Linked DNA regions of Mus musculus. The protein of the gene in region 1 binds, or shares a complex with, the protein of each later gene. Links are inferred from orthologs where the notes say so. Each region holds a gene or a part of one and is shown in the gene's direction. Other genes may lie near its edges.

Evidence for each region. The genes of interacting proteins can lie anywhere in the genome.
Region 2: the proteins of Kcnj8 (region 1) and Abcc9 are in contact, whole or in part, in a cryo-EM structure (PDB 7MIT), measured with the Rattus norvegicus proteins. The link is inferred for Mus musculus from reciprocal best matches to the Homo sapiens genes KCNJ8 and ABCC9. Residues at the interface, in NP_058795.3 of Rattus norvegicus: Met1, Leu2, Lys5, Ile7, Ile8, Pro9, Glu11, Tyr12, Val13, Leu14, Ala15, Arg16, Ile17, Ala19, Glu20, Asn21, Leu22, Leu45, Ala46, His47, Lys48, Asn49, Gly54, Arg55, Phe56, Leu57, Asp59, Ile60, Thr62, Thr63; in XP_038963045.1 of Rattus norvegicus: Phe5, Ile10, Tyr13, Asn14, Ile15, Val19, Asn22, Cys24, Phe25, Ala28, Leu29, Val32, Val35, Phe36, Phe39, Phe42, Pro43, Ile44, Phe46, Ile47, Gly48, Trp49, Gly50, Ser51, Lys55, Gln57, Ile58, Asn129, Phe130, Lys132.

The regions. Positions count from the first base shown.
Region 1 is NC_000072.6:142,568,772-142,572,974, reverse strand, and holds the start of Kcnj8 (ATP-sensitive inward rectifier potassium channel 8), read left to right. Parts: upstream 1-1,360; 5' UTR 1,361-1,791; intron 1,792-2,521; 5' UTR 2,522-2,595; coding exon 2,596-2,969; intron 2,970-4,203. UniProt on the Homo sapiens protein: Inward rectifier potassium channels are characterized by a greater tendency to allow potassium to flow into the cell rather than out of it.
Region 2 is NC_000072.6:142,699,443-142,703,467, reverse strand, and holds the start of Abcc9 (ATP-binding cassette sub-family C member 9), read left to right. Parts: upstream 1-1,193; 5' UTR 1,194-1,304; intron 1,305-1,564; 5' UTR 1,565-1,651; intron 1,652-1,908; exon of another isoform or gene 1,909-2,053; intron 2,054-4,025. UniProt on the Homo sapiens protein: Subunit of ATP-sensitive potassium channels (KATP). Can form cardiac and smooth muscle-type KATP channels with KCNJ11. KCNJ11 forms the channel pore while ABCC9 is required for activation and regulation.

The DNA.
Region 1 (4,203 bases):
ATCAGTCTGCCTGGGTTTCATAACAACTTCCTGTTTCAAAGGACAGCAATGAAATCACATAAGCACAGAGGAGTAGCCGTGTAGTTCAGTTGGTAGAGTGGTTGTCTATGCACAAGGTCTTAAACAAAACAAAACAAACCCCAGACATGATGGCACACACCTACGATCCCAGCACAAGGAAGATAGGCAGGAGGATTAGAAGTTCAGGGTCACCATAGGCTACACAGCAAGTTCGAGGCCAACTCAGAATATGTGAAACCCTGTCTTCTGAAAAAAAAAAAAAAAAGAGTTTAATGTTTTTGGTGTTAAATTAGTAGACAGTAAATTGCACAGCAAGGTGCACTTCAAACTGTATTTCAGTGGCAGAACTCACAGCACAAATGTTGTCTGCATGGCTGCTATGAGGCTACAACATGAATTACTGCAGAAAACAAAGGAAACAAAAAGAATCTCACTGACAGGACAGGCCCTCCAGAATGCAAGGGGTTAAGCAGATCTACCCACAGTGGAAAAAGGGAAGGGGGGCTCTTCATTTTCCTTCATTAAAGACTAATTTTAGGTCTTTCTAGTAAATTAACATGCTGTTTATACTTCGGATACTCCCGACCCTCAAGTCTTGGAAAACATAAAATTTCCAAGAATTAAAGTTTCCATTAATACAAACGCCAAAAGCAGGATGACCGGCGGGGGGGAAAAAAAGCACATTTGTTCCCCCACCCCCACCCCCGCTCCTTCTCAAAAGCTATAGAAAGACATTTACTGTATAATCTTTCTTGTGCGCAAGTGAGCAGTCTTATCATTCTTACGATCTAGACTGGAGGGAGAGGCCTGCGGCCAAGAGTCAAAACGGAGCCGCGACTGCGCCTGCCTGCCCCGAAGGCAGGTGTGGTGCTGGACTTTGCTTAGCCGTCCTGCTGGGTGTAAATTTTCTTTATTGGAAGAGACTGTTGATGGTGTTTTTGTTGTTAGTCTCTATCTTTGTTTCCCTTTTTGTTTCTTTTGTGTGACTTTAAGTGCCTGAAAACTGGTCTTAGTTGGTGAAATCGGTTTTTTTTCCGAAAGGATTTCAGCCCTCCCACCCCTCTATATTCTAACACGAATAGATTTACAAGTTCAGGGCAGGGACCCCACCCTCACCCCACGCTCACCCCACAATCACCCCACCCAAAACACCTACACTCTCTCTATCTGGTTTTATTTCATCTGAAGTAACCCAGTGATACCCCCCCCCCGCAAGTTACACTTTAAAAAATAATAAATTAAAATCTCTTTGCGTCAGTGAACTTGGGCTCAGAAAGTTCTCTGAGCAGCGAGCCTTTTAAAGATGTGTGTGCCGGTCTGGCAGCAGAATCCGGGCTACTGGGAACCGAGCTGGCTCGGCTGGTGCCTCCTCCCCCGGTGGTCCCTCCCTTCTGGCCGGCTCCCTGCCTCCCCGGCTCCCCCGACTGGCCTCCGCCTCCACTTTCCCCGGCTCGCTCGGAGGTCTGGCCCCAGCTAGGCGGCTGAGGAGCTGGCGGAGCATGGCCACTAGCACCTCTATCCCCAGCTCCTACCCCGCCCTCCCCGTGGCCCGGCAGCAGGAGGGGGGAAGCCAAACCCAACCCTCATCTTCCAGCCCTCCTCCCCGCGTGCACTATGGATCGCACCTTCTAGAGTCTTAACTCAGTTCTGGAGGACCAACATCCCCCGGATCTGCACTTCGGGAGGTCTCTGCTCCCGGGATGCGAGAGCCTGGGACCAGCCCGCCCTGTGCGGAGCTCAAGCCGCAGCCGGGAGCGCAAACCCGAGTCTGTAAGTTGCATCGCGCCTCCCGGGGAGAGGAGGGGAAGCCGGCTATAGCGCAGCCCAAAGCCAAACAGTCAAGGTGTACCCAGATTGGCTCGAGCTGTGCAAATCCACTGCAGACCTCAGCAGTGTCTCTAATCCCCGCGTCGCAAATTACTTTCCAGCATATAGTATGATATAGGTTCAGAGGGAGGGGCGGGGAGTCTGGCTGCCTTTTAAAACGCATCTCGTAAATCCTTCCAATTTAATATCAATCATTTTCAAGTTCGAAAACGCAATGTTTGGTATCTTTTAATTACAGTTAATATTTTCTTAATGAACAGGAAGCAGTTTTCTTCGCTGCTACTAAAAGAATCCCTCCATCTTTCCTTTTAACCTTGCTACTTTATCTAAATAGTTTAGCAAGTAGATAGTGAACCCACTTGGCCTTTAATTTTCGTCCTCAGGCTTGCCTGACTAATCCCGAGACACAAAAGAATATACAGAAAATGCTTAAAGATTTGCTTATAGCGGTTATTTCCAAGAGTGAGCAGGGAGGAGAGAGAGAGAGGGGGGGGGGGATTCCTCCGGTTCTGATCAAAAGTTTTCTCTGGGATCCCAGACCTCAGACACAAAGTGGGTTCTCTTTTGTATTGATCACATCTTTAATTTAATATGTGTGTAAAACAGCATCCCTTTGTACAGATACCTGAGACGAGGAAATGAAGTTGACAGTTTTTAATAAGCGTTTCTCTAGTCTAGGAGGACGCGTGTGGAGGAAAGGAGCCACAGGTTCAGGCAGGTGCATAGGCGGGCTATGGTGAAAGGAAGATGTTGGCCAGGAAGAGCATCATCCCGGAGGAGTATGTGCTGGCGCGCATCGCAGCGGAGAACCTGCGCAAACCGCGCATCCGCGACCGTCTCCCCAAAGCCCGCTTCATCGCCAAGAGCGGAGCCTGCAACCTGGCACACAAGAACATCCGAGAGCAAGGTCGCTTCCTGCAGGACATCTTCACCACCTTGGTAGACCTGAAGTGGCGTCACACGCTGGTCATCTTCACCATGTCCTTCCTCTGCAGCTGGCTGCTCTTCGCTATCATGTGGTGGCTGGTGGCCTTCGCCCACGGGGACATCTATGCTTACATGGAGAAAGGCACCATGGAGAAGAGTGGCCTGGAGTCCGCTGTCTGTGTGACCAATGTCAGGTAAGAATGAAATGGAGTTACCAGCAAAGTAGAAATAAAAAGCTCTTTCAGCTAGTCGATTGTGAAATAAAGGGTCTTCATTGGGCAGTTCAGAAACAAAAAGCAAATACAGGGTGCAGGGTTGAAGTTAGCACATTAAAGTCTTTGTAAATGTAGTTTTACCAACAGGTTTCTGAGAATGTGCGACTGCTTCTTTGTGCTGACCTTGGATGGGTTCAAAGAATTCCTGACTCCCCCCCCCCCAACAACAACAACAAACAACAACAACAAAAAAAAAAAACCACAGTTCGTTTTCACCACAAGGATGTCCAGTGTGCACCAGGAAATATTCCCAGTCCATCCAAAGCACTGTGCAAATACAAGAAATATTTTTTTTCTGTAAAGCAGTCTTAATTTTAAAATACACTAAAAATAAAATAACAGAAGTAAATAAAAGCCCTTCTTTATCAAGGTTATTTTGGCATCTCTGACAGATTTTTTTAGATTTAAAAAAATTAAAGCTTATTCTAAAATTTAGAAGAGAGAGTTGTAGTGAAAATTAGTCCAGATTTTCACAAACGGGGTTGAATAGACAGCAAGTGGATATTGAGGTCTCTTTCCAAAGCTTCCACAGAGCAGGAACAAGGCAGCTTTTAGGTTATCTAAATTTGACTTCTGCATTTAGGGATGCTTCAAAGTCAGCTAACACGCACTGGGGTTCCACGTCTCTCTTCTCTATTCCCAAGAGGCCCCAAACACTGCAATGGGGCAAACTTTTTAGTTTGTTTCTTTGGGTGGAGACATAATTGCTAAGGCAGAGAGACTGAGGGCGCTCCAGCCAGGCAGGAAAGGACTTCCAGCGGTCCTGGATCCTATAAAAGTAGCAGAGCATGGCATAGACACCCATAGCTGGGAGCAGAGCTCCTCATGATCTTACTTGCCCTTCCACTTGGCCAAGTAATTGCCAGGCCGACATGTCAAAGAGAGACATCACCTTAGACCACACACAGATTCCAGCTCAGATTTGTCATGAGAGCAATGTACTAGAAAGACCTGGGCTTTACCACTGGGCAGATAGGATTTTCTTTATTCAAGCTTTTGCCTCAACAACAATGAGAATAAGAACCCCAGGTGAGCAGACAACTAGGGACATGGAGAACAAAGTCCTCTCTGTGTTTAAATATTTCGGCTGTGTTTAAGAGATTTGATGCTGTAATGCTGAGTCTCTCTCATGGACTTACTGGCCTTGACTTGG
Region 2 (4,025 bases), about 130 kb from region 1:
GAGTTTATTCAAGAGTTACTGAGGCCAAAAATTACCCAGTGTGATCATGGCTCATATCTGTAATCGTAACAATCTAGAAGCTGAGCCAGGAGGATTACTGCGAGTTTGAGTCCAAGCCAGGGTGTCTAACCTTCACCCCCTCAAAAAAAATTTTTTTTTAATTTAAAATTCACCCCTTACCACCAGAGGAAAAGTTATTGTGGAGTGTCACATATACATGCATATCTATATCAAAAGCGGGTGTGTGTGTGTGTGTGTGTGTGTGTGTGTGTGTGTGTGTGTGTGTGTGTGTGTGTGTGTAGCTGGCTTCTAACCTGCTATGTGTCTGCTTCTTGCTTTGAACTCCCTGCATCTTTCCCCCAAATGATGGCATTTCAGAAGAACACCAACCACAGTCTGCCTTCAATAGATATTGTTTTAAGCAAGTTTTGTTATTTTAAGAGTTAATTATATCTGTTTGTGAAAGCGATGAAACAAATGAACAAATAAAAAATACTGTTGATGCTGAAACTTGAAATCAAACTCAAATTTTGGAGTGCTCAGACAAGTGCCATTGGTCCATTAGTCTGGACCAGCAGGCAAATTCCCCGGGTCACTGAAAGATTCTGCCCTGTGCCTGCCCATCCAAGTGAGACAAGCATGCCTGGTGGCAGTTTGTTTTGCCTAGAATGAACTATTCAGTTCTCAGTCCTGCTGGGGGCGAAGCTGGGCGAATGGATGGCACTTTTAAATCATTTTTTGGTGGCTAAAGCTAAGGCTGCCTGCAGAGCTGATACTTTCCATGTTTTCATATCTGATAAGCCTCCTCTTTGAGGGTCTGGGGGTCGGTTTTTGCAAGTTCCGCTTTCTGGTGGAGTCTTGGGGGATCCACATATGGCGTGAGTTTGGCACATCTTCACTGCGCTCACCCGTAGGAGCAGCTCCGGAGGAGTGGGGAGTGGTGTGGAGGGTCTGGGGGAGGGTGGTCCTGAATGGGAATGGCCGGAGTGATGGAGGGTCCCAGGTAGGGATGATCCGGGCAAGGAGGGTGGGGGTGAAGAGGGTCCTGGATGGGGAGGGTCCCCGCCTCAGGCGTCTGGGGTGCCTGCAGTTTCCTGCCAGGGCGCGGCAGTGTCCGCCCCAGGCCACAGCGCAGCGCAGCGGAGGAGAAACGCGATAGGAGGCAGCAGCTGGCCTCCCACCACCCTAAAAATAATCCACTCGCCGGCTGCTGACCCGGGAGGAAAACTTGTCGTCCCATGGAGTGCGTGAGCTCCTCGGCTTGCTACAGAGAGATCCCCAACCACTCTGAGGAGTCACTGGCTGTAAGCTGTTGATTTTGATCTAGTATTCCGTCAGTAAAGGCATTCGCTATTTCTAGGATTCAGGGGACTTGCTGGCGAGAAGGTGGGATCAGGTTTCCAAAGTTTGACTTACACAATCCTGCCGGCTGGAGCCGAAACCGGCTGGAAACAGGGAAAGATGTCACTGATATATATATAGAGAGAGACTTTGTTAGCCATTCCCCTTTACAATTCACGCAGCAGCTTTTTCTCTACTAAATTTGTTACTCTTTGCTCTTTAGGAGAAATTTACATCTTCAGACGGTGGGCAGGCTGTTGGTAGCTCAAGTGCACCAGTAGGGGGACTAAGCCCTGGAGCCAAAGCCAAGGTATATTTATTTATTTATTTATTTATTTATTTATTTATTTATTTATTGTTTGCTTGTTTGCTCCGCGTTGGTTACAGTGTCTAAAAACAATCTTATCTGCGCAGGGGTCCCCAGCATTGTCTTTCTTGTGTCACAGAACGTCATAGCCCCTGGAGGGTAAACGCATGGACTAAGACTCGATAATGGATCAAGTCCGTGGTCATTTTCTTGCTAGGAAATTTCCTACTTGGATCTGTATAGAACCAGCCAGACAGCTAGTTAGACAGCCAGACACATCTACGCATTTTGTGAGGTCTCCACTGAGCAAGTTCAGTGAAACGATTGCAGCATTTGCTTTGGCGGAGGGTGGACATCCTGGGCACGTCGTGGGTGGGTCGTCGCTGCCTTAGGTGCCTTTCAGAGGTGAGCTTCTCATTCAGGATGCTTTGCCTAAGCGCTCAGTAGCTCAGGGGTGAGTTGTTCCACATGCAAGAAGGAAAGCTATCCCGTGCATGTTTGCTTTAGATGTGTCCAGAGCCCGAGCTTGGCTGACACTGTCAATGGGGTCACAACTGACAGTCGCTGCCGGGTGAGCAGGGAGGTGGCTGCTTCTCACTCAGTCTTAAGTGGCTGGCAAAAGTAACTAGCGTTTAGTTCCTGATATCTTTTAATATCTTAGCAGTTTTTGGAATTACTTCAGTTAACCTTTGTTCCTCTGTAGAAGTATCAGAAGAGTTGATAGATACATTACTAGAGTTTTGAACGGATACCATGTTTTATGCATACCAGGGGCTGGGGAACGTCTCACAGTGCAGGGCCAGGGCCAAGCACGCTGCTGTTGCTATTCTCCGCAGGAAACAAGAGGACTCCTCTTCCCTCTGTGTTCTGTCCTGCAGGCTACCCCACAGCCAAAGTCTCACTTTTGATCTGTTTTGAAGTTGGCTCCTTCCAAGTCCCCATCCCCAACGACTCTTGTAAGCACTTGACCGCCTTCCAGAGGGATTATGCTCGTGGGGAGAAGATGGGCTGCTTTCCCCTATGGTCCCTTTCCTCCTTGTTGCTGTCACTTTCGTGCACAAACTGAGCCTAAACAGATACAGGGGGAGGGGCACCAGCAATGGATGGCAGGTGACAGTCTGACCCTCAAGAGCATCAGTGTATGGCCTTCCTCAAGTGCTTACAACAGCCTGAGCTCTGGAAGGGAACCACAGACCAGACGCTGTTTGGAAATTTAAGGATTTATTAGAAGGCTGGGGTATAGTTTGGTTTGTAGGGTGAATGCCTGACATCATGAGGATCTGGATTCAAATCCTAGAACAAGATGCACAGATGTTCACACACACACACACACACACACACACACACACACACACACACACCATCTTGATTCAATATCTTTGATGGACACAACACCTAATATAGTATCTGCAGTAAACTTCCTCTTTTCCTACTTTTGGCTGTTGATGTAGCTGGCTATTAGAACCTTCTTCCTGCACAGTGGCTTTAGAGAAAGGAATCTGAAGGTCAAGAGGGGTGAGTAGAAGAGATGTCAAAAGGAAACATGGACATCTGTGTAAGGAGCAGAGAGGGTGGGAAGCAGGGTAGGGCACAGAGGTCATAGCAGAGGGAACAAAATCTAGATGTTTTTGTGGAATGCTATCATAGAGCTAGGGACAGGACATGTCGTTCAGTGACAGAGCATTGGCCCAGCATGTTTGATGCCTTGGGTTTGGTCTCCTGCGCTGCGCTGCACTGTGCAGACAGACAGACAAATAAGCAAGTAAATGACTTAACGTCTCATTTTGTCATTTCCACTAAATGAGGGACTAGTCTTAAAAGCCTCATTGCTGGCTGTTATTTTTTGATTGGTTTTCCATCTTTATCAAAAATATTTACTAATGTATATATATGAACATATAGCTTCCATTTTGTCATTATTTAAAAAAAATTCAATTCTTTCTCCCATATGAGTTTTATGAAGTGGTAATGTTTTACCAAATCTATAGTCAAATCTTTTTAAACTATTTGTTTTAAAAATATAATTTTATAAAAAAAAGACCTCAACTAGAGAGCCTATAAGTGACTTAATAAAAAATGGGTTTATCAGACATAATCTGTGTAAGAGACTATATACAAACATTTGGGCTATAGCCATACAAGCTTTCCAACTAGTTACTTATATTATATTCAAGCAATGATTTCTACAACATTTGAGGGGAATTTGATTTTTCCAACAATTTATGTACTGTTCTCTGTGTCATATTATTTGTCTTGTTTTTAGGGAAAATATAATGTCCATGACTAAGTTAATTATCAACGAAAAGAAAAATAAGAAAGGTACTATTTGTTGATGTGATATTAACTTTTAATTAACCCAGAATCCAACATAAATATG